Linked DNA regions of Mus musculus. The protein of the gene in region 1 purifies or fractionates together with the protein of each later gene. This does not show direct contact. Links are inferred from orthologs where the notes say so. Each region holds a gene or a part of one and is shown in the gene's direction. Other genes may lie near its edges. The genes, in order: Lmna, Kpna6, Hnrnpm and H2ax.

Region 1 (5,319 bases):
CCTGGACATGGAGATCCATGCCTATCGAAAGCTGCTGGAGGGCGAGGAGGAGAGGTGAACTAGGAGGGGTCTACAGAACTTGTCAGGGGCCTCTGGCCGCAACTACCATGACTAACCCCGCACCGTGTCTCCACCTTCCCCAGGCTGCGCCTGTCCCCCAGCCCTACCTCGCAGCGCAGCCGTGGCCGCGCCTCCTCCCACTCATCCCAGTCTCAGGGTGGAGGCAGCGTCACCAAAAAGCGCAAGCTGGAGTCTTCCGAGAGCCGGAGCAGCTTCTCGCAGCATGCTCGCACTAGCGGGCGTGTGGCGGTAGAGGAAGTCGATGAAGAGGGAAAGTTCGTGCGGCTGCGCAACAAGTCCAACGAGGTGGGCCTGTGAACCAGGGTGGTCTTTTCAGTGGCTGGGAGTTCTTGGTTCTCGTGGAGCATCTGTCTCCCTATCTGAGAATTTGGAGTGTGTGGTAGTCCTGTCATCTTTAAATTGTTGGGAAGATGCATGATATAGGGATGGGTGACCCTTGAGCCAATAGTCTAGGTTTGAATGCCAGAGGTAGTGGTGGCAAGCCTGTCTTTCTTTTCTTTTTCTTTTTCTTTTTCTTTTTCTTTTTCTCTTTCTTCTCTCTTTTTTTTTTTTCCGATGGGGTCTTGCCCAGGTTGGCTTTGATCTCCCTAGATTAAGCTGTTCCCCTGCCTCAGCCTCCATAGTAGCTGGAACTGCAGGCGCACACTGGCGCCCAGCCTACCTAAGCTCCTGAGTGAGATAATCCAAGAGTCGGTTGAACTCCCTGTCCTCCTTCCTCCTTCCTCCTTCCTCCACCCTACTTCAGGACCAGTCCATGGGCAACTGGCAGATCAGGCGTCAGAATGGTGACGATCCTTTGATGACCTATCGCTTCCCACCGAAGTTCACCCTAAAGGCTGGGCAGGTGGTGACGGTGAGTGGAAGGGCACTTGGGACTCTGGCTGGAGTGGAGAAGTTGGCCTCAGGACAGGAGCATTAAAAATAAGCACATCTCTTAAACCATCTTTTCCCAGATCTGGGCTTCAGGAGCTGGGGCCACCCATAGCCCCCCTACTGACTTGGTGTGGAAGGCGCAGAACACCTGGGGCTGTGGGAGCAGCCTTCGCACCGCTCTCATCAACTCCACTGGAGAAGTGAGTATGTTGCAGCCGGTAGCTTGCTGGACAAGGCTCCCCCTGGTGGCCATAATGGGAACTAGCTACCTCCAACCCAAGGGAACCTGCCTTGGGTTTAGGATCGCTTTCCTGAGCCCAAGTCCCACCCAGTAAGCAAGCCAGAAGTCTCCCCAGTAGAATAATGGGTGGAAGTCAGCCAGTGAGTGTTAATAGCAGACTCCAGCTTACAGAGCACCGAGCTCTCAGTTGTGTCCTTTTTGCGCGTGCGTGCGCGCGTGTGCACATGTGCATGTGTTTATCCTTAGTCCCCAGCATCAGAGGTTGGACAAGGTTGTATAAAGGCCCGGGACAGTTCTAAGTGGTTACTATGGGTAGACAGGCTGCACAGCCCTCACCCCCTGACTCTTGGGCCTGGGCTTATGTCCCCACAGGAAGTGGCCATGCGCAAGCTGGTGCGCTCACTGACCATGGTTGAGGACAATGAGGATGACGACGAGGATGGAGAAGAGCTCCTCCATCACCACCGTGTGAGTGGCAGCCGCCGCTGAGGCCCAGCCCACAAGGGTAGCCCTGCCAGCCTAGGGCAGCTCTCCCACCTCCATGCCAAAGTCTTTTCATTAAAGAATGTTTTGGAATGCCACTTGCTGCCCTGGCCTTTCTTCTCTCTCCTCCCTCTACCTTGAACAGGGAACCCAGGTGTCTGGTAAGGAAGGGAGTGGGGACTTGCTGATGCCATGGATACTCCACGGTGGCAGTGGACAGGGTTCTGGATTTGTGTCCTGGGAAGGGGCTGGGAGGACAGAGGTGGCCCCAGCCCTGCCTCTCTTCCTCACTCCCATTGCATGCACACTTCTCTCCTCTCTCCTTCCACCCTATTGCATGCTTCTCCTCAGATTTCCCTGCAACAATGTTCTCTTTCCTTCCTGTCCCCTCACAAATTAAGTCTCTCCATCTTTGCTCTTCCTCTTGATTGCCCCATAAGTGTCTAAGATTCAGGAGAGAGTTAAAGCCACAGCTCTTTATTTCGAAGGCTTCCTGGCTATTTCCCCCATCATGCCCTTCCTCCCAGCCACAGGTCTCCCAAGTCCCCATCACTTGGTTGTCTGGGTACAGACAGAGGTCACCTTCCTGCCCAATGGCCAGGAAGCTCCAAGAGCCCACAGCCTAGGTGCCGGTCCTAAGAAGTCAGTCCCAAACTCGCTGTCCCTCCTGAGCCTTGTCTCCCTTCCCAGGGTTCCCACTGCAGCGGCTCGGGGGACCCCGCTGAGTACAACCTGCGCTCACGCACCGTGCTGTGCGGGACGTGTGGGCAGCCTGCTGACAAGGCTGCCGGTGGAGCGGGAGCCCAGGTGGGCGGATCCATCTCCTCTGGCTCTTCTGCCTCCAGTGTCACAGTCACTCGAAGCTTCCGCAGTGTGGGGGGCAGTGGGGGTGGCAGCTTCGGGGACAACCTAGTCACCCGCTCCTACCTCCTGGGCAACTCCAGTCCCCGGAGCCAGGTGAGTCATCTCTGCCCTACAGCAGGACACTGCTCACTGAGCAGCAGGGCAGGGCAGCCCAAGGGAGTGGGGTCCCCCTCCTTGCAGTCCCTCTTGCATCCTGCCCCTCCTGTCTGAACCCCAGACTCGAGGTCAGGGCAAGGCCCAGAGTGTGAGGGTTGGGGAGACAACCCCCTTTGGGGTCAGGGAGGGAGAGGAAGGGCCAGCCACTGCTGCTCACACCTCTGCCTTCTCTTCTCTCTTAGAGCTCCCAGAACTGCAGCATCATGTAATCTGGGACCTGCCAGGCAGGGCTGGGGGCAGAGGCCACCTGCTCCCCCCTCACCACATGCCACCTCCTGTCTGCTCCTTAGGAGAGCAGGCCTGAAGCCAAAGAAAAATTTATCCCCTGCCTTTGGTTTTTTTTTTTTTTCTTCTATTTTTTTTTTCTTTTTCTAAGAGAAGTTATTTTCTACAGTGGTTTTATACTGAAGGAAAAACTCAAGCAAAAAAAAAAAAAATCTTTATCTCAATCCTAAGTCCTTCCCCTTTCTTTCCTTGTATCTGCCTTAAAACCAAAGGGCTTCTCTAGGAGCCCAGGGAAAGGACTGCTTTTTATAGAGTCTAGATTTTTGTCCTGCTGCCTTGGCTTTACCCTCATCCCAGGACCCTGTGACAATGGTGCCTGAGAGGCAGGCATGGAGTTCTCTTCACCAGCCTCCTCCAACAGCTGGCCCACTGCCACGCCAGCTGCAGAGAAATGGGGCGCAGAGAGGATGACTGAGAAGGTCAAGCCCCTCCCCGGCACTACACGAGGCCGAGGCTCCTCTGCCTGCCTTACCTTCTTCCTGCCCTTCCCTAGCCTGGGGCGAGTGGATTCCCAGAGGCAAATCTGCCGTGCTTGCTTTTTCTATATTTTATTTAGACAAGAGATGGGAATGACGGGGAAGGAGAAGGGAAGATCAGTTTGAGCCTACCTTTTCCCAGCTTCTGAGCCTGGTGGGCTCTGTCTCAATGATGGAGGGCAATGTCAAGTGGGATACAGGGAAGAGTGGGGGACGAAGGCTCCCAGAGATGGGGAGAACCTGCTGGGGCTGGTGAGAAGTCTAGAGGTGCGGCGATTGGTGGCTACAGCAAACACTAAGGAACCCTTCACCCCATTTCCCATCTGCACCTCTGCTCTCCCCTCCAAATCAATACACTAGTTGTTTCCATCCCAGATGCTGTGGTGTCTCTTTGTTGGGTGTGATGTGTGTTTTCAGGGGCAGACACATGCACACAGAGGTGCCACACATTCACTATATATTCACTACCCAGCTATAAAGGTGTGTATGAGGGAGACTTCTAGAAAGGTCAGCATATGTGGGGTGAGCGAGGGGTGTCCTTCCTATCCCTCATCCATCCAGCACCTTTTAAAAGGGGCCAGCAATCCACATGTGCATCAGACACAGGAGCACAGAGAGACGGAGGGTAGAGTAGGGGCCAGAAGTAGCAGAGCTTCCCTTGCTGCCCCTGTAGTCGCAGGGCTCTGGATGCTGTGATTGCCTCTGTAGGCCGAGATACTCTTAGGAAAGGAAAGAAAAGGTGGGGTGTGGTGAGTTTGAGGCTAATCTGGTATTCACAAGACCCTGTTTCAAAAGTCTTTCTTGGAGCCCAGCAGTGGTGATGCACGCCTTTAATCCCAGCATTTGGGAGGCAGAAGCAGGCAGATTTCTGAGTTCGAGGCCAGCCTGCTCTACAGAGTGAGTTCCAGGACAGTCAGGGCTACATAGAGAAACCCTGTCTCAAGAAACCAAACCAAAACTAAACAAAAGTCTTTTCCTGGGAGAAGAGCTGGGCGTTCAGTCAAAAGTGATTGAGGGCTGGAGCAATGACTCTGAAATGAAGAGAACCTGAGTTGGGTTCCCAGCCCCCCAGTCAAGTAGCTCCCACTGCCTGTAACTCCAGCTCGAGGACATACAACATGTCTCCAGAATGCCAAGTCTATGTACTTCACATATGAGCACCCACCCCACACACATGTACACCCGAATTCACATCCACACACAATCAAACCTTTTTAAATCATTGAACCAGTCATGCTATTGCATGCCTTTAATTCCAGCACTCCAGAGTCAGGTGGATCTCTGAGTTCAAGGCCAGCCTGTTTTACATAACAAGTTCCAGCAACCAGGGCTTTATAGGAGAGACCCTGTCTCAAAAACAAAACAAAAAAATCACAACAACAAAAACAAAACAAGAAACAAAACCCAAAGTGATTGAGTCCAAGAGATGTCTTCATTGGTAGAGACACGTGCTAAACCTAAACCCCACCCCTGAGACACGCATGGTGGAAGGAGAGAGCTAATTCCTGCACGTGATCTTCTGACCTCCATGTTGCCATATGCAGTGTGATTCCATTCTTGGGGAGATTGAACAAATTACTTATTTTTAAAACGAAAGAGAGAGAGAGAACCCAGCTGCCACTCTTCAACTGACTTACCAGAAGGAAAAAGAAAACTGGTTCTCCTCTACCCTGTTATAAAAACCAACCCTACCAACTGAATGTTCCTCCATTCTAGATCCCATGTGTCTCTCTATCCATCCTCCTGACCTCTCACTCTATGGTTTTTTTCCCTGTGTTCACTCCCTGTCAACTGGTTGCTTGCTCCACCTCTTGACCTGTGGTTGACTTTATTAATCTTGTTTACAATAAACAGAAAGCT
Region 2 (5,110 bases), on another chromosome or scaffold:
CTCTGCCTCCCAAATGCTGGGTGTAGATTATGTCTGTACCCAGCTAAGTCGTGGGGATTTTTTTTTTTTTGGTTTTTCAAGACAGGGTTTCTCTGTATAGCCCTGGCTGTCCTGGAACTCACTCTGTAGACCAGGCTGGCCTCGAACTCAGAAATCTGCCTGCCTCTGCCTCCCAAGTGCTGGGATTAAAGGCGTGCGCACCCACGCCCGGCATGTCTTGGGGATTTTTGTTTGTGTTTTGTTTTGATGAGATTAGGGCTCTCTGTGTATACTAAGCTCTCTTTGAGTTTGTGGTCCTCTTGCTTTAGCCTCTCGGGGGCTGACAACATGTCTCAGCCTCCAGTTTGTATTTATGCCCCTTTATTCTGGTGTTCATCATCTGAACATTAGGAGGAACCACGCAAGTTGGATGCGTCTTTCCCCTTATTATAACCTACGAAAGGGAATAAAGTCTGTACATACTGATGTCTCAGGAGAAAGGAAGAGCTATTGACTTAAACATTAGAAAGAAAACATAAGATGAACATGATGGCGTGTGTACCACTGCAGTCTGAGAACAAAGTCAGCCAACCATGTAGTGAATCCCAAGCAAGCTAGGGCTACAAAGAGAAATCATGTTTAAAAGGGTGCCAGAGTAGGGAGGAGGAGTAAATACAGCATTATATGTAGGCCTTTTTAGATAAAAATATATAAAGGTCCAGGAGTCAGAAATCTGAAGATCTTTGAGCACAATTTAATAACCTCAGTATGGAATATTCTGAGTAGAGCTACAGAGGAAGGGTCCAGATGACAGACAGTCTGTACCTCCATACTGTACAAGTTGTACTCAGGACAAATAGGAACCTGAGGAACTTCTTAACGTGTGTAGGGTAATAACGTTGTAGCCAAGGGGACAATAGGACTCCGTGTTCATTAGGGAATAGGTCAGTGCAGAGTTAAGAAGGTGGCTTAGGTGGGCAACAGGAAGAGTGCCTTGTTGGGAAAATTGGTGTGTGAGGGAGACGCACAGGTCAAAGCACCTGGTGCACTTTATGTGTTCTGCATTCATGTAGCGCGCATGTCCTCTCTGGTCCCCAGGTACCTGGTATCACTGGGCTGCATTAAGCCCCTGTGTGACTTGCTGACTGTAATGGATTCAAAAATTGTGCAAGTGGCCCTCAATGGACTAGAGAACATTCTTCGGCTTGGAGAGCAAGAAAGCAAGCGTAGTGGCTCAGGGGTCAATCCCTACTGTGGCCTCATCGAGGAAGCCTATGGTAGGTCCTCTCCCTGACCTCACCTATGTCTGTTAATGGGGAAGATGTTGGAGCACATTCAATTGTTCTGTGAAACTTGGGAATACATTTATCCATTCATTTGTGTGCATATGCATGTATGAGTGTGGGTGTACATGATATGGCACATGTGGGATGAAGGTCAGAGGACAACCTGAAGAAGTCAGTTCTCTCCCTTCACCATGTTGGTTCCTAGGATTGAACCCAGGTTGTCAGACTTGGCAGAAATCACCTTAACCTGCTGAGTCATCTCACCAGCCCTTGAGTCTCTGCTTCTAAAACCAGTGATGAGTTCCTGTTGCAGCCAAGCTAGTCCAAGCACAGGGTTTCAGACTTTCCCTTGGGAGTAGCTGACTCGTACTGACCAGCTGGGTAGATAGAAGTAATGGTTATTATCACTATCAAGTTTCCCTGTCCCACCATCTCCTCCTCCCTCTGAGGAGCCATAGGTCAGTGCTGTTCTCATAGACACCACCTACCTCAAATGTATGCAAGGAGGAACAGGGTAAAATTTGGTTCTACTACCAGGAGCTAGAAGCTGCATTCCAACAGTCTCTCCTGGAAAACCCTGATTGCCTTAACCAACCCATCTCAGATGATTAGCTCAGATGTTAATTAGATGTTAACTAGCTCACCATGATTAGCTCAGAGTTAGCTTGCAACAGAATTTGGTCTCAACCCTCTAGTCAATCACATTGTATATGTGTGTGCAGACCAGAGGTCAGTCTGAGCTATCACTCCTCAGAGTAATCTAGGTTAACAAGCCAACCAGAAAACAAACCCCAGCTGGTTTGTCCCGACTGTATCCTCTTCCCACAACCCCTGCTAGGGTTACAGGCCCCGGCCACCATTCCTGGCCTTGCATCCTGGGGAGTGAACTCAGGTTTTCAGGGCAAGCACTTTACACAAGCCAGGGGTGGATATGTTCCCACTGCTTTTGGTTGGGAACTTGTACTTCAGGAAAGGAGAGGTACAGACCTGTTTTCTTCTTACACCGTAGGCTTGGATAAAATTGAGTTTCTCCAGAGCCACGAGAACCAGGAAATCTACCAGAAGGCCTTTGACCTCATTGAGCACTACTTTGGTGTAGAGGATGACGACAGCAGCCTGGCTCCTCAGGTGGATGAGACGCAACAGCAGTTCATCTTCCAGCAGCCTGAGGCCCCCATGGAGGGCTTCCAGCTATAATGTCTGCCTCCGGGGAGGGGAGGGCACGGGAAGCACCAGCAGCCAGCAGAGAGAGGAGCAGCCTTCTGGTGGGCAGGAGAGCAGCCACCCCACCAGCAGCCCCGCACACCTGCTGCCCCGAGACTGTGCTCTCGACCTGTTCATCCCCTTCCCTGGAGGGAGCAAGCGCCCTCTGGACAGACAGAACCATCTGAGGCTCACATTGGGTTTTGAGACAAGAAGGGGACGTGTGGGTTTCTCTTCCTTACACTATTTTGGCTGCACATGTCTTTAACCCAGGAGCCCAGGGGTAGACAAAGGAGGACTGAGGTAATCAATTTGCACCTTTAAAATTTTTTTCTTTTATTTTCTTTAGTGGTGACTTCCTTCCCAATTATCTTTCTTCATCCATCCCAGTCCTCTGCCCTGACGTGTGTAACTCTTGGGTACTTGAGCAGATGGAATATTCCAGAGGTGGGAGGTGGGAGGGGAGGGGAGAAGTCCCAAACAAAGTGTTCTTGCTCTGACCCATATTAATCTTGTATGCTTGGATTATTTAATTTTTTCTTTTGCACATTTTTCTTGTATTAAGGTTGTTCTTCCCAAAAAGCTGGATTTAGTAACCCAGCCACCAGCATCGTCTGGAAATAGAGGCTAATGGGGAGGCCCCCATGAGACAAAGATCCCTCCCTCCCTCTAACCCTATGCCTAAGACCTCTTTAGTTTGGGAGGATCCCCCTCACTCTCCTGGAGCAAGTATACCAGTGGAGTGGAAGGGAGGGGCACAGGCCTTTAGACAGGGCTTCTCCTGTGTAGCTACTGACCCTGTTTCCTACCCACCTCCTAAATGGTGCGACCCAACTTCATTTGTTTACTTGAAAATTCACCTCAGAGTTGAATGAACCTCTGAGGTGGCTGTGTTTTCTCCTGAGCTTGAGATGGGGGGCTGTGGTCCTTCCTTCTCCTGAGGAGAAAGTCCTTGCTCTGATGACCCCTAAGTTGCAGAGGAGGTTGGAGTTAGTGTCGTGTATCGGGATAGTCATGAATCCCTGCCTTTGGCCTTTCTTCTTCCTTCTGCCATAGCTGGATCATGTATATTTCACTTCCAAAGGAGAGAATGGCAAAAAGTTCTGTTGTTTTTTTAATAGTCTGTATTTTAAGTAGGTCAGTCTTAATTGGTTTTAGGAGGACAAACTGGATGTGAGTGGGATACTGTGAGGAAGACCAGAAAGACGAACAAGTTTCTGCTCACAGGGCTGAACTCAGTCCTTATTTTCTCTGCTTGTATTCTGGGCCACCACTTGGGACCAACTCTCACTTCTGGAACCTTTATGAAGTAAATCAGCTGGGTCTGATTGTTCCCAGCCTGAAGGGAGCAAGGCCTGATGGAGTCTGCTGCTCTCTCTGTTCCTTGCTCCCAAGCAAAAAGCATCCTGCCTTCTCTAACTCACTGTTACCCACAATGAACCCTGTTGGCATCTCCCTTCTAAAGATCCTTGTACCTAGCTTGCATTTCCCTTTCTCCCTCTTTCCCCCTCCCACCTCTCTCCCCCCTCCTCCTCTCTTCCCTCCCTCTCTCTCCCCCTCCCTCTCTCCCTCCCTCCTTCTTGAATAAAGACAGTTCAGTACCTCAGAGGCTGACCTGTTTTCAGGGGTTACACAGTACACTAAAACCAAGCTCTGGGAGCTGGGTACAGTGTCAGCTGGGCAGACCACCTGTGGAGGTGGCAGCACAGTGCCCTGCTGTGGTGATCCCCCACACCCTTAGCCGCTCTCTAGAACAGCACTGTTCCTCCTGTTCCAGCAGATCTCTCTGTGCCCCACATTTGCAGATCTGAAGTTGAGGTTCTTGCTGCTGGCCTCTGCCTTTCCGTCTGCCGTCTCTCCTTTAGTTTTGAGTTCCTGCTCCAGATTCCTCTTCAGGGCAGGCAGTTAATACTGAAAAGTTCAACCAACATTGGACCACGCTGGCGAGTGCCTTCCGGGAAGGCAAGGTGCTGGCCCTTTTGTTTTTAACCTGACTGAAACTGCTCCTAGTTCAAAGAAAAGTCCTCTATGAAGCCATCATCGTCCTTATCTGAAGAGTAGACCCCTGAACCTCTCAAGTGACAGTTAGGACCCTGGCCCTGGAGCCAGATCCTCAGCATGAGACACAAATGTCCTGCTTTCCTCTGCCCGTTTTCCATTATCTCTGGCTTCAGAGCAGATCCTGTGCCACATGGAAGAGGTTGGTTATCTATCTAGCTGCTCTACTCTAGGTGTCCCTCACAGTCGGCTCCTGGCCGACTGACTTCAGTTTCCAGCCCTCCCCAGTGATCATGGCCCTGGATGTTGGTTGTAGCCTTTTGGTATTACTGTATGAGTTCCAGCTTGCTTGGTACCGTTGTTACCTGGGTCTGTGCACACAAGTGCTTCCGAGGAGCAGGTATTGGTAGCCTGGTTTGGAAGACCTTTTGGTGTCCCCTTTACCCGGGACCTTGTATCTACCACTTCCCCTTTCTGCTGCCCCTGGGAGTCATCCCCAGTAGCCTATGTTCTGAAGCTAACTGTGGGCTAGAGCTGCAGTGGGATTTTAGCTGAGGGAGAGGAAAAGACGGTGCTTCTGCGTGGAGTTTCTTTCTTTGAAACCAAGCCGGTACAAAGACACACTTCCCACACAGAGGAAGTGT
Region 3 (5,966 bases), on another chromosome or scaffold:
TTTCAAGACAGTTTCTCAGTGGTGTTGCATTGGTGGGCCTTTGGCTCAAGAGATCTACCTGCCTTTGCCTTCTCTGTGCTGAGATTAAAGGCAGGTACCACCACCATCCTGCTGACTTTTTTAAGTATGAGGGGGAAAGCTTGTTAAATGTGAGGAGACTTATTCTGTTCCATTTAAGAAGAGAGGCAATAAATAGCAGAGTTAAGGCCCAGTTTTGCAGTCCTATTTAAAAATTCAACTGAAGTTAATTTTCTTGTAAAGTCAGTCAAAGCAATCTTAATATAGTAAAAGTGTGTCTTTTTCCCCAGAGAAGTTTACCTTGAAGTTTTCACCTTCTTCTTTCACCTAGCTGGATTATAAAGTTGGCTGGAAGAAACTGAAGGAAGTATTTAGTATGGCTGGTGTGGTGGTCCGAGCAGACATTCTGGAAGATAAAGATGGGAAAAGTCGTGGAATAGGCATTGTGACTTTTGAACAGTCCATTGAAGCTGTGCAAGCAATATGTATCCTTTTGTGGGAATTCAGCTCATGGCAAACAGTGCCCCCAGCACTGTTAGGCAATAGCATACCTAGGTATATTACGACAACAAGGTAGAAGTAACTATTTTCTCTGTGACTAGAGTAAATAGATTACTATGGAATCTGAAATTTTTCTGGAGTAGAACACAGATGGATAAAAGGTGTGGTTGTATCATAGACACATGCTATGAATGGTCTTTTCTTTTCAGAGGAGTTTAGGAAATAAACCATTTATGAGAACTGAGGGTTTTTCTTTTTTTCTTTTTCTTTTTGGTTTTTTTTTTCCAGACAGGGTTTCTGTGTGTAGCACTGGCTGTCCTAGAACTCACTCTGTAGACCAGGCTGGCCTCGAACTCAGAAATTCGCCTGTCTCTGCCTCCCAAGTGCTGGGATCAAAGGCGTGCGCCACCACGCCCGGTAGAACTGAGGCTTTTATTTCTTTATAATATATCCTTATGGACTCTGTCTGTTGTAGAGAGACGTTGTTTGAAGAGATCCCTTTCCTTGCTGTAGGCTTGCCCTCGGGTTACATCTTTTTAATTACAGTGAGTATGTCACACATAACTACAGAAATTAAACTCAGGAGACTATTACTGGTTGCTTTACCCAGAAAACATGATATTTCAGAAATACTAAAGACTCTTGGTCTGTTGAACACATAGATAACTGCTTTAACTAATTACCAGAAGCATTTTGCAGTGTAAAGTCATTACTAAAACTTCATACCTAGAGAGTTGAAATTTCTTATGAGTTCACTGGTAGCTATGGAGGTGTTACCTTTTTAACATTTTATATGGTATGCTTTAACAGTTGTTAGAAATAGCCTTAATTGTAATACCAGCTATGTTTAATGGCCAGTTGCTGTTTGATAGACCGATGCACGTCAAGATGGTAAGTTACTAGGATCACTTTCTTTGTAATGTGTTCAAGTAAGCTAGGAAAAATGTAGAATTACTAAAACTGTATCTAGCCCTTAAACTAAACCTGTTATTTAGTAGGCTGCAGAGTGATGAGTCTCTCTGCTCATGGAAGTTGTTTTCTGTACATTCCTGCCTGGTTGATTATTACTGTTAACTCCTATGTTCAGGAAGCCCATTGAGTATCCTGCGTGAGCTACAAAGAATCAGCTACAAAGGATCTTTAGCATAGAACTCCAGTTTTCAAAGTATAACATACAGTGCTTGGTTAGTATAATGAACAGGTATTTGATTCAGACAGCTTTTAAAGGTCTGTTGGAGTTCAGTCTTAATAAACAGTAACCCTACTATAACATTGCCAAAGATAATAATTTATAGAAACAGTATTAGAAGATATTGAGGCCAGTCTGGGTTAGGATTCAGATTCAGGAATAAAATAAAAGGAGCTATAAATTTTGTTATTTGAAGGAGTTTAAGTCTTTGAATAGCTAATGGATTCATAAGACTCAAAAACAAAAAAAAAAAAAAAAAATTAAAAGAGGGGCTGGAAAGTTGGCTCAGCTATTCTTCCATAAGACCCCGTTTTAGTTCTAGCACCCACATGACAGCTCACCACTGTCTGTAACAATAGTTCCAACACCTTCAGACAGATACACATGTAGGGTAAAAAAGCAATGCACATAAGATAAACAAACAAAAAAAAGAAATGATGTTTTGAGCCTCACTAGTACTTATTGCTCAGGTTCTGCTCTACATACCCAATAATACAAATGTATATTTATCCTTCCTGTTGGCATAGAAGATAAAATACCTCTCAAATACCTCTTTGTGTTTGATATAATTATTCTGTGCCATGGCTATGTCATAGTTTATTTATATTTAACTAGTTAACTTGTTTGTTTAGTTTAAATTTTTGCTTTTTCCCTGGTGCTAGGGACTGGACACAGGGCCTTGTATGTGATAGGCAGGTGTTTTATCTCTGGGCTACATCTGCAAACCTGTCTTTGTTATTATTGTTTGTTTGTCTTTTGTTTCATTTTTTTTGTGACAGTTTTGTGTAATGTAAACTATCCTAGAACTTGCTGTGTATCCCAAAGCTGGCCTTGAATTCCTGATCCTTTTGTGTAAGTCTCTCAAATATTGGGATTACAGGTGTGCAGCACACACACAGTACCTGACCTCTTTGGTTCTTTGTTGTGGTAATTGTTTCTCATCTTTTGCTATTGGTGCTCCAGTGGAGATTAAGATCTTTTTTCTTTTTCTTTTTTTCCAGGATGAGAGGGCTTTACCAAAGGGAGACTTTTTTCCTCCTGAACGCCCACAGCAACTTCCCCGTGAGTATATGAATTATACTAAATAGAAACTGTTCCAGTTAAATTTATACTTGCAGTTGTGGAAAGTTACCCTGGGGATTCTTGTGATCTGTTTGTCCTGTCACCACCCCACCCTACACAGGTTGCACTATGTAGCCTTGGATAGCCTGGAACTCACAGAGATCTGCTTGCCTCTGCCTCCTTAGTGCTGGGATTAATGGTGTGCACTGTATCGTGCATGTCTTGATTAGTCGTTTTCTATAGGTTTTTCAGGATAAGAAATGAGTAAAGAAATTTACGACTTAAGAGTAAATTTGATAGTGGCACTGGCTCAGAGGATAAAGGCATCTTATGCAAAACCTGATGACTAGAGTTTAACCCCTGGCACCCACGTGCTCGAGGGAGAGAATGAGTCCTTCAAGTTGTCCTCTGACCTCTATTCGTGTGTGGCTTTGTTGGAGATGATAAGTCACTGGGGCAGGCTTCAAGATTTCATAGGCCCACAATATCCACAGTTAACTCTCTGCTTTGTCTTTGTAAAAATGTTAGCTTTTTGGCAGTGGTGGCGCACGCCTTTAATCCCAGCACTCAGGAGGCAGGCGGATTTCTGAGTTCAAGGCCAGCCTGGTCTACAGAGTGAGTTCCAGGACAGCCAGGGCTACACAGAGAAATCCTGTTTTTTTTTTTGGGGGGGGGGGGCTTTTTTTTTTCTTCTTTTTTTTATTTTTTGGTTTTTCCGAGACAGGGTTTCTCTGTGTAGCCCTGGCTGTCCTGGAACTCACTCTGTAGACCAGGCTGGCCTCGAACTCAGAAATCCGCCTGCCTCTGCCTCCTGAGTGCTGGGATTAAAGGCGTGCGCCACCACACCCGGCTTTTTTTTTTTTTTTTTTCTTCTTTTCTTTTCTGAAGTTAGCTTTTAATTACTTTTCTAGTACCATGCCTGCCTTTCTGTCGCCATGCTCCCTGCCATGATGGTCAGGGAGTCTAACTCCTGGAACCATGAGCTCCATACTAATCTTTTTTTAATGAGTTGCCTTGGTCCTGGTATCTTGTCTTATCACAGCATTAGGAAAGTAACACATCGTGTTTCTCTGTTGCAGACACTTTTAAAGAAGGGCTCTTGGATTATACAGGCTGTCCAGATATAGAGAGCAAAATTATACAGTTTGAAAGTGTCTTGGAGTAGATGGGTGGTTAAACAAATTGAATAAATGCCAAGTTGAGCTGGATTTTGCTGTATAGTCAGTCTATCAGTATCCCTTTTAGGTGTATTCTAAGGACTAAACCTAATGTCCACATGAAGAAATGACATAAATGCTTAGAACAGCGTGTCTCATTAGTCAAAAAGTCAAGCCAGACTTGTTGGTAGTCTAAAGCAGGCAAATATGAGTTCAATGATGGTCTGAGTACACAGGTAGATGTTATTTTAAAAGGGAAGGGAGAATGTTGGAACTGATTCATTAATTTATGTATAGATAACTAAAATTTGGCAAAATCGGTTGATTAGTCAAAAGGGGGTGGGGGTGGAGCCACAATTTGGAAGAGATAAACCTTGTTTCCAACTGTGGGCAATGCCCAGAACAGGTGGGTCTAAAAGGCAGAAGATAGTTCCATGGTGCTGAGGAGAGAGCTGACTGCTATTGGAGATGAGGTTTTTAAAGTGATGAGAAAGTTAATGAAATTGTGATAATTGCTAGCTTGAAAGGGCCTGTAGCTTTAAGAATAGGTCAAAAAAATGCAGATATAGTGATTGAACACTTAGCAAAGGTTAGTCAGATTACCCAGTAGCAAAAAAGGGGTCAGGGAGACAGGAGATGGCTTGTCTGTTGAAAGGACAATATTTCCTTACTACCTGTCTGCAAGCAGGTGGTCACTTAACATGCTTGTTGTGGTTCTTGTTGATGCTTGTGCTAGAGGTAAAGGAGCACTGAGCCCCAGGGAACCTATTATCCCTGGTTCTTGGTCTCTTGGTATGACTCAAAGGGTTGACCTCAGAGCTTTGAGTACATTGGAATAATAACCCTTGGTGACTTATTGGAGTTGTTGCCATGCAATTAAAAACCTACTTGATAGATTAAGTACCTAGAGCCTGTTGAGGTTTTTTGTTGTTCGTTATCTTGGTTTAAGTGTCAGGCCTCAGTGGCTCTTTCCGATACCAGTCTGCATTTCTTGTTTCTTTAGTTGTGTTTGTAGAGCATAGCAGTGAGGATGTGCTGGATATCAATTTAGTAATTCTTGAGGTGCTAGCACACATCTGTGATGCCAGCATTCAGAGGGTGGAGGCAAGATGATCTTAAGTTGGAAGCCAGCCTTGGGCTGCATAATAAGACCTTGTTTTTAAAAGAAGGGGGCAAAGAGGGCAGGGGAGAGAGAAAGGTTAGATTTCTTTAGGGATAAAAAACAAACAAAAAACTGGGATGGGGCTCAGGCAGGGACATGTGGATCTTTGTAAGTTTGAGGCCAGAGAGGGCTACATAGTGGTACTATATATATTATTTTATTTGTTTCTTTAGTGCATTCATTTTGTGTGTGTATCTCTGTGTATGCATGTTAATGTGCAGATGCTTGAAGGTCATAGGGCAAATGAATGCACCAGCTTTCTCTACCATAGGTTCTGGAGGTAGAATTCGGGATTGGGAGTAAGGTCCTTAACCTTAAGTCATCTTGCCAGCCTGCGAACTGACTTTTTAGCTGCCCTTGTTGTGTAGGTACATATTTCATACTCCAGTCTCTGACTGTATGTCCAAAGCTGCACCTTCAGAAAGAGGGACACTCACAGGGATGCAGGTGTGTAGGTGTTGAAGTCAAGTCAGGCCCTGGGCTTGCTTGGTCTAGGGGTAAAGCACGGCAGCTAGAATATACCAGTTGTCTGCGGGTCACCATGTTTTCAGAAAGGGAAGCCATATTCTTGACTTTCTCTGCTTCTTTCAGATGGACTTGGTGGTATTGGCATGGGATTAGGACCTGGAGGTCAGCCTATTGATGCCAACCATCTGAGCAAAGGCATTGGAATGGGAAACCTAGGACCTGCAGGTGAGAATTGTAGTGGGGATAAATGGGGAAAATTGAATTTATTAAAAGCCACTATTAGTGCACTTGAAATCTGGAGATTTTCAAATATGATTAATGCACTTTCGACAAAATCCCCTTTTCATCTCAGCCTCGTGTCCACAAAAGCAGTGTTGTTTTTATTGAGTTGAGTTTGTGTTTTAAGCCA
Region 4 (5,587 bases), on another chromosome or scaffold:
GAGTTTCTGGAACAGCCTTTCTTTTAGAACTCAGGGTCAAGGCTGGCCTGTTACTCAGAGCGAGTGACTGAAAGAAAGAGTCAGTAACAACTCTTGCCATTGGCTGAAATCCTCTCTCCCACACAGGTACCCGTCCCGCGTGTTTGTGGGAGACACCTTCTGTTACTTTGCGGGCATGACTTTTGCCGTGGTGGGGATCTTGGGACACTTCAGCAAGACCATGCTGCTCTTCTTTATGCCACAAGTATTCAATTTCCTCTACTCACTGCCTCAGCTCTTCCATATCATCCCCTGCCCTCGACACCGGATGCCCAGGTAACCACTCTGGGGCTTTCAAGGGTCATAATAGTTTCTGACTTGGGATAGCTAAAGCCAACTTGCATTTCCTATGTAAAAAAAACATGAGGGGAAAGATGAGCCGACTGTATGTGGGTAGCCCATTGTAATTTACGAAGCTCGTTTACTTACATAGTATGTAATGCTTACAACAGCCCTGATCACGGAGCCAGAAACCAACTCCAGTACATAAGTACTCAGTACTCTTTTTTTTTTTTTTTTTTTTTTTTTTTTGGTTTTTCAAGACAGGGTTTCTCCTTATAGCCCTGGCTGTCCTGGAACTCACTTTGTAGACCAGGCTGGCCTTGAACTCAGAAATCCGCCTGCCTCTGCCTCCTGAGTGCTGGGATCAAAGGTGTGCGCCATCACGCCCGGCCTCAGTACTCTTCTTAGTAACCAGGGTGCAGAGGTCTCTGATTCAGTCAAATGAAATTATCTTCCCATTGCAGACTCAACGCAAAGACAGGCAAACTGGAAATGAGCTATTCCAAGTTCAAGACCAAGAACCTCTCTTTCCTGGGCACCTTTATTTTAAAGGTAACAAGGTAACAGGAGGTAAGGCCCGAGGCCGCCATCCTTAACTTGGGAAAAGAGAAACCTAGGCCTTTTCAGGCCCAAGGGGAGTTTGGGAACATCAAGAAGATCCCTATTCGTGAAGTAGATCTGCATAACTGAAGTCATCTTCACCTCTGGTCCCTGCAGGTAGCAGAGAACCTCCGGTTAGTGACAGTTCACCAAGGTGAGAGTGAGGACGGTGCCTTCACTGAGTGTAACAACATGACCCTCATCAACTTGCTACTTAAAGTCTTTGGGCCTATACATGAGAGAAACCTCACCCTGCTCCTGCTGCTCCTGCAGGTACAGCTCAGGGTGGGGCTTAGTAATGCCATGGCGTTTACATCTCTGGTTGGCCTTGCTTCTAATTCCAGTCCACTTCTCCCAGGTCCTAAGCAGCGCCGCCACCTTCTCCATTCGTTACCAACTCGTCCGACTCTTCTATGATGTCTGAGCTCCCTGACAGCTGCCCTTTACCTCACAGTCTCCATTGGACCTCAGCCAGGACCAGCCTCTGTCTGGTCCGAGATGACCCTCTGGTCCAGGCCTCGCTGACACTTTTGTTCTCAGCTTCTGCCATCTGTGACTACTGATATCCTGGATGGACACCTTGCTGGACTTGAAGTCCGCTAGTTGGACTTTGCCTAGGGCTTTCATCTTGCCTTGCCCTCCCTTTCTGTCCCATCTGCAGCCTCACCAGGTGGGCTTGTAGCCTCTATTATGCAAATATTCGTAGCTCAGCTTTCAGAGCGCTAACTCTAAAGGAATTCACCTGAGCCTTGAGAGAGAACCTGGGCTAGGGCTAGAGTTAGGGCTACATACTCCAAGGTGACCTCACATTTGACTATCAAATGAAGTGTTGTGATTGGGAAGCGTAGAGGCAGGGCCATGTGCTCAGAACGGTGACAATAAAGGACTGCCTTTTACTTGTTCCTCTAGTGTAGCATCCCCTCCCTCTGTCCTTTTTAACCTTCGTGGTGCTTCAGGAGTGAACACCGGGGCTTCCTTATACTTAACTGCTCTACCACTGAACTATATGCCAAGTCTGGTATATTTATTTTTTATATAGGCATTTTAGGATAGATTGGAAGGGTTAGACCGGGTACCTTTCCCAATAGGATACCGATCTCTGTTCCATCAGACCCTTTCTTGCAAAAAAGGCCTGTCACAAACTAAGACCAGACAGAACATGTTGAATAAATATCGCAGCACAAACTTGTGATAGCATAAAAGATCACAGTGCTCCATTTTCTGGCATAGGATTAAACTCCTAGGAGGTTTCATTTCGTTTCTTTTAAACCCTCCCTCCCTTTAATCTGCACTAGGGAGGCAGAGGCAGGCTGATCTCTGAGTTCCAGGACAGGCAGGGCTACTCAGAGAAACCCTGTCTCAAACAAACAAAAGCCAGATGGTGGTGGCGCACGCCTTTAATCCTCAGGCTTGGGAGGCAGAGGCAGGCGGATCTCTGAATTCAAGGCCAGCCTGGTCTACAGAGTGAGTTCCAGGACAGCCAGGGCTACACAGAGAAACCCTGTCTCGAAAAACAAACAAACAAACCTAAAAATAATAATGAACAAATAAACCCTCCGTCTACCAGATTAGAGGAGGGAGTGGGAAGTGCTCTAACCTGGAAGGAGAACGCTGCTTATAGTGTAGACCCTTTTCCTTTAAGACCAAAGACCGACTCAAATTTCCCAGAAACTGTAGAGGTAGCTCCAAGCTCCACCCTTCTAGTCTTCAGGTTTTGTTGTCGCGCCGTAGCGTTTAAATTTCGCGCGCTCTACACGGATTGGCCATTTCCAGGGGTGAGCAGCCTCCGGCTTGCGGCCACTCCGCCTTGTCTTCTTCCCCGGGTAAAAGGTTTTCAAATTGGACCAATCACTGGGCGCGTTCTCTCAGCTAAGGCGCGTCACCGAAGGGTTAATTGCAACCAACCAGAGGTGGGTATTAAAAAAGGAACCAATCAGGAGGAAGCGGGGGCGTGTCCAGGGAGTTTATAAGGCCGGGCTTGGCCGGCCAGGCGACCGTTGACTGCGGCGGTTGGTAGTTCGTGGTCTCTCAGCGTTGTTCGCAGCTCTTCTACCTCGTACACTATGTCCGGACGCGGCAAGACCGGCGGCAAGGCCCGCGCCAAGGCCAAGTCGCGCTCTTCACGCGCCGGCCTTCAGTTCCCTGTAGGCCGCGTACACCGGCTGCTGCGGAAAGGCCACTACGCCGAGCGCGTGGGCGCAGGCGCGCCGGTGTACCTGGCAGCGGTGCTCGAGTACCTCACTGCCGAGATCCTGGAGCTGGCGGGCAACGCGGCCCGCGACAACAAGAAGACGCGCATCATCCCGCGCCACCTGCAGCTGGCCATCCGCAACGACGAGGAGCTCAACAAGCTGCTGGGCGGCGTGACCATCGCGCAGGGCGGCGTCCTGCCCAACATCCAGGCCGTGCTGCTGCCCAAGAAGAGCAGCGCCACCGTGGGGCCCAAGGCGCCGGCGGTCGGCAAGAAGGCCTCGCAGGCCTCTCAGGAGTACTGAGGGGGCCCGCGCCGAGGCCGCCCAGCCCTCCCCACACCTCCACAAAGGCCCTTTTAAGGGCCACCACCTCCCTCACAGAAAGAGCTGAGCCACTTCGGGCTGCGGCGGCTTGCCGCGTCCCCATCCTTTCTCTTTCCCTCCTCTCCCCTCCCCGCCCTCGCGCCACTCTTCCCCTTACCCCGCACGGCCTCCGGTTCTGCCACGGAGGACGCGGGCGCCGCGGCACCTGCCCATCCCGGAGCTCGTGACATCGCTTCGCCGTTCTCGGTTGTGGACGACGGCTCCGTGCGGAGAGGCTGCGGCGCCTTCCCGGAGTCTCGGCCCCTCGCTCAGACGTCCGGCCGCGGTGGGCTTGAAGGTTAGTCCCTCCGCAGCTACAGCCCCGGCGTCTTTGCTTCAGCTTGGTGCTTAGCCCTCGCCTGGACCTTTGAAAAGTGACTTGATTGCCGGGCTTAGAGGAGGAGAAATGGATCACATTGTTTCCTTCGGTGTCACCGTTGCTGGCCTCATACCAGTTGACCCTGTCGCCATTCGTAGGCCAGTGTGGTGTGGCGGGGCCAAAAATGGTTGTAATGTGAACCCAGTTTCTCTAGGAATACCTCCCGGCAAGGGTCAGAGAGACGCTTACCGGCCTGTGGACAAGAGTTCTATACCTGCCGCAGGCGACTGGCAGCCGGGCCTAGCCATCCATCCCCTCTTCCCCAGCGACTCAACTACAACCCAAACACCTAGATACCAGCACAAGCCGGTGAATCCCTGTCTGGACTGAGCCTCTGGCTTCTGAACTGGAACTTTTGCAGCTATTACAAGTTTAGAACCTTAAGTGGGGAGATTTAATGGGCTAATTTTATTAAAGGATCGTTTGGTTTTGTTTTTTTAAAAAAGTGGTTTAATGTTGAATGCTGTAGTCCCAGGGCTGGACATATAGCTCCGTGGTAGAGCCATGTGCCTGGCACATCTTGGGAGAGAATGGGACTTCCCTTTCTGCAGGCCGTGGGAGTGGGAAAGGCTATGTAATCCACGAAGATCCCGTTGACTGAAGACAGGCTGTAGGAATTGAAGGCTGATTTTTTTTTTTTTTTTTTTTTTTTTTTTTTTTTGAGAACATGAGGCAAATCACAGCGTGTTTTACAACAGAAAGGTCTCAGACTCAATTCAAGTTTAAAAGGGCTTTGGGTTTATTCATATCTTCCCCAACTCTATCAGAAGAACCACATTCTAAACTGGTTTATTAGTGGTATTGGTTACATTCAAAGATTGGCATGGACTTTCTCTAAAGAGATGAAGCCCCCAACTACTGAGGGAAAGGCAGATATGGAGGCCCCAAGGTGAGGCATATCTTCCAAAGTGGAAGTCTCAACAACCCCGTGGTTCAATTTCCTGGGATAATCACATCCCTAGGGATGGAGCACAGGGCACTTGGAAGCCAGAAGTAGGCAGTGGAGTGGCAGCCAGGGTTCCTGTGCCCTACAGACCAGTTAGCGCACATCATTAAGCTGCCGTGCAACATCCAGGATGTTCTTGGCTCCTTTGTTGAGCAGCAAGCTGGCCAGGCTGATGCCCAGGTTCTCAGCAGCTAGCTGGGCTCCTCTTGGAATGTTACGGGCAGTGATTCCAACCAGTTGTGGGTCATCTTCTGGACCATCTTCTTGCTGGATGACAGGTTACAATTTTGGTAAGAGGAAGATTACAAGCAGTTCTATTTATTCCTTCCTCATCTCCCAGTCAATACCTGAACAGGGACCTGGATGGTGGCCTGCATAGTCTCTTGCATGCTATCTGAGCCATCTAGACTCCAGACTCCACCAGTCAGGTACAGCTAGGAAATAAAATGTTTGTACCAGGATATTTAAAGAAAGTTACTTAGATGTTTCGGTGCACATGGAAATGACAGTCCCTCCCCTCATCCATTTCCCTGGCTTACTTGCCCATCTTTCATCACTGTATGCACTGCTACGGGCACGCTGCAGCCTCCTTCCTGCAATGATATGTTCCTTTGAGCTCTAAGGGCCTTTAACACCACTTTTGACCACAGACCTCAAGGGGCCAGATCAAGGTCCTCTCCATACATACAAAACATTACATACTGAGTACTTGACAAATCTCTCTCCCTACTGCCCTTCCTGGTTTCCCCACAACACCATGGGAGGAGCCCATCTTACCAGGTGCCT

What was found.
Region 2: the proteins of Lmna (region 1) and Kpna6 purify together in Homo sapiens (affinity purification with mass spectrometry; 4 studies listed by BioGRID and IntAct, with this or other methods). This does not show direct contact. The link is inferred for Mus musculus from reciprocal best matches to the Homo sapiens genes LMNA and KPNA6.
Region 3: the proteins of Lmna (region 1) and Hnrnpm fractionate together in Homo sapiens (co-fractionation; 3 studies listed by BioGRID, with this or other methods). This does not show direct contact. The link is inferred for Mus musculus from reciprocal best matches to the Homo sapiens genes LMNA and HNRNPM.
Region 4: the proteins of Lmna (region 1) and H2ax purify together in Homo sapiens (affinity purification with mass spectrometry; 3 studies listed by BioGRID and IntAct, with this or other methods). This does not show direct contact. The link is inferred for Mus musculus from reciprocal best matches to the Homo sapiens genes LMNA and H2AX.

What each region holds. Positions count from the first base shown.
Region 1 is NC_000069.6:88,479,662-88,484,980, reverse strand, and holds the end of Lmna (prelamin-A/C isoform A precursor), read left to right. Parts: coding exon 1-54; intron 55-143; coding exon 144-366; intron 367-826; coding exon 827-934; intron 935-1,034; coding exon 1,035-1,154; intron 1,155-1,567; coding exon 1,568-1,663; coding exon of another isoform or gene 1,664-1,684; exon of another isoform or gene 1,685-1,776; intron 1,777-2,368; coding exon 2,369-2,635; intron 2,636-2,880; coding exon 2,881-2,907; 3' UTR 2,908-3,833; downstream 3,834-5,319.
Region 2 is NC_000070.6:129,645,344-129,650,453, reverse strand, and holds part of Kpna6 (importin subunit alpha-7), read left to right. Parts: intron 1-1,077; coding exon 1,078-1,256; intron 1,257-2,274; coding exon 2,275-2,462; 3' UTR 2,463-5,110. UniProt on the Homo sapiens protein: Functions in nuclear protein import as an adapter protein for nuclear receptor KPNB1. Binds specifically and directly to substrates containing either a simple or bipartite NLS motif.
Region 3 is NC_000083.6:33,660,029-33,665,994, reverse strand, and holds part of Hnrnpm (heterogeneous nuclear ribonucleoprotein M), read left to right. Parts: intron 1-349; coding exon 350-503; intron 504-1,360; coding exon 1,361-1,410; intron 1,411-2,709; coding exon 2,710-2,770; intron 2,771-5,680; coding exon 5,681-5,782; intron 5,783-5,966. UniProt on the Homo sapiens protein: Pre-mRNA binding protein in vivo, binds avidly to poly(G) and poly(U) RNA homopolymers in vitro. Involved in splicing.
Region 4 is NC_000075.6:44,331,778-44,337,364, forward strand, and holds H2ax (histone H2AX), read left to right. Parts: upstream 1-2,937; 5' UTR 2,938-2,984; coding exon 2,985-3,416; 3' UTR 3,417-4,300; downstream 4,301-5,587. Other genes in the region: Dpagt1 (UDP-N-acetylglucosamine--dolichyl-phosphate N-acetylglucosaminephosphotransferase), read left to right, coding at 127-315, 786-873, 1,039-1,194, 1,280-1,345; Hmbs (porphobilinogen deaminase), read right to left, coding at 4,895-5,068, 5,149-5,235, 5,341-5,394, 5,579-5,587. UniProt on the Homo sapiens protein: Variant histone H2A which replaces conventional H2A in a subset of nucleosomes. Nucleosomes wrap and compact DNA into chromatin, limiting DNA accessibility to the cellular machineries which require DNA as a template.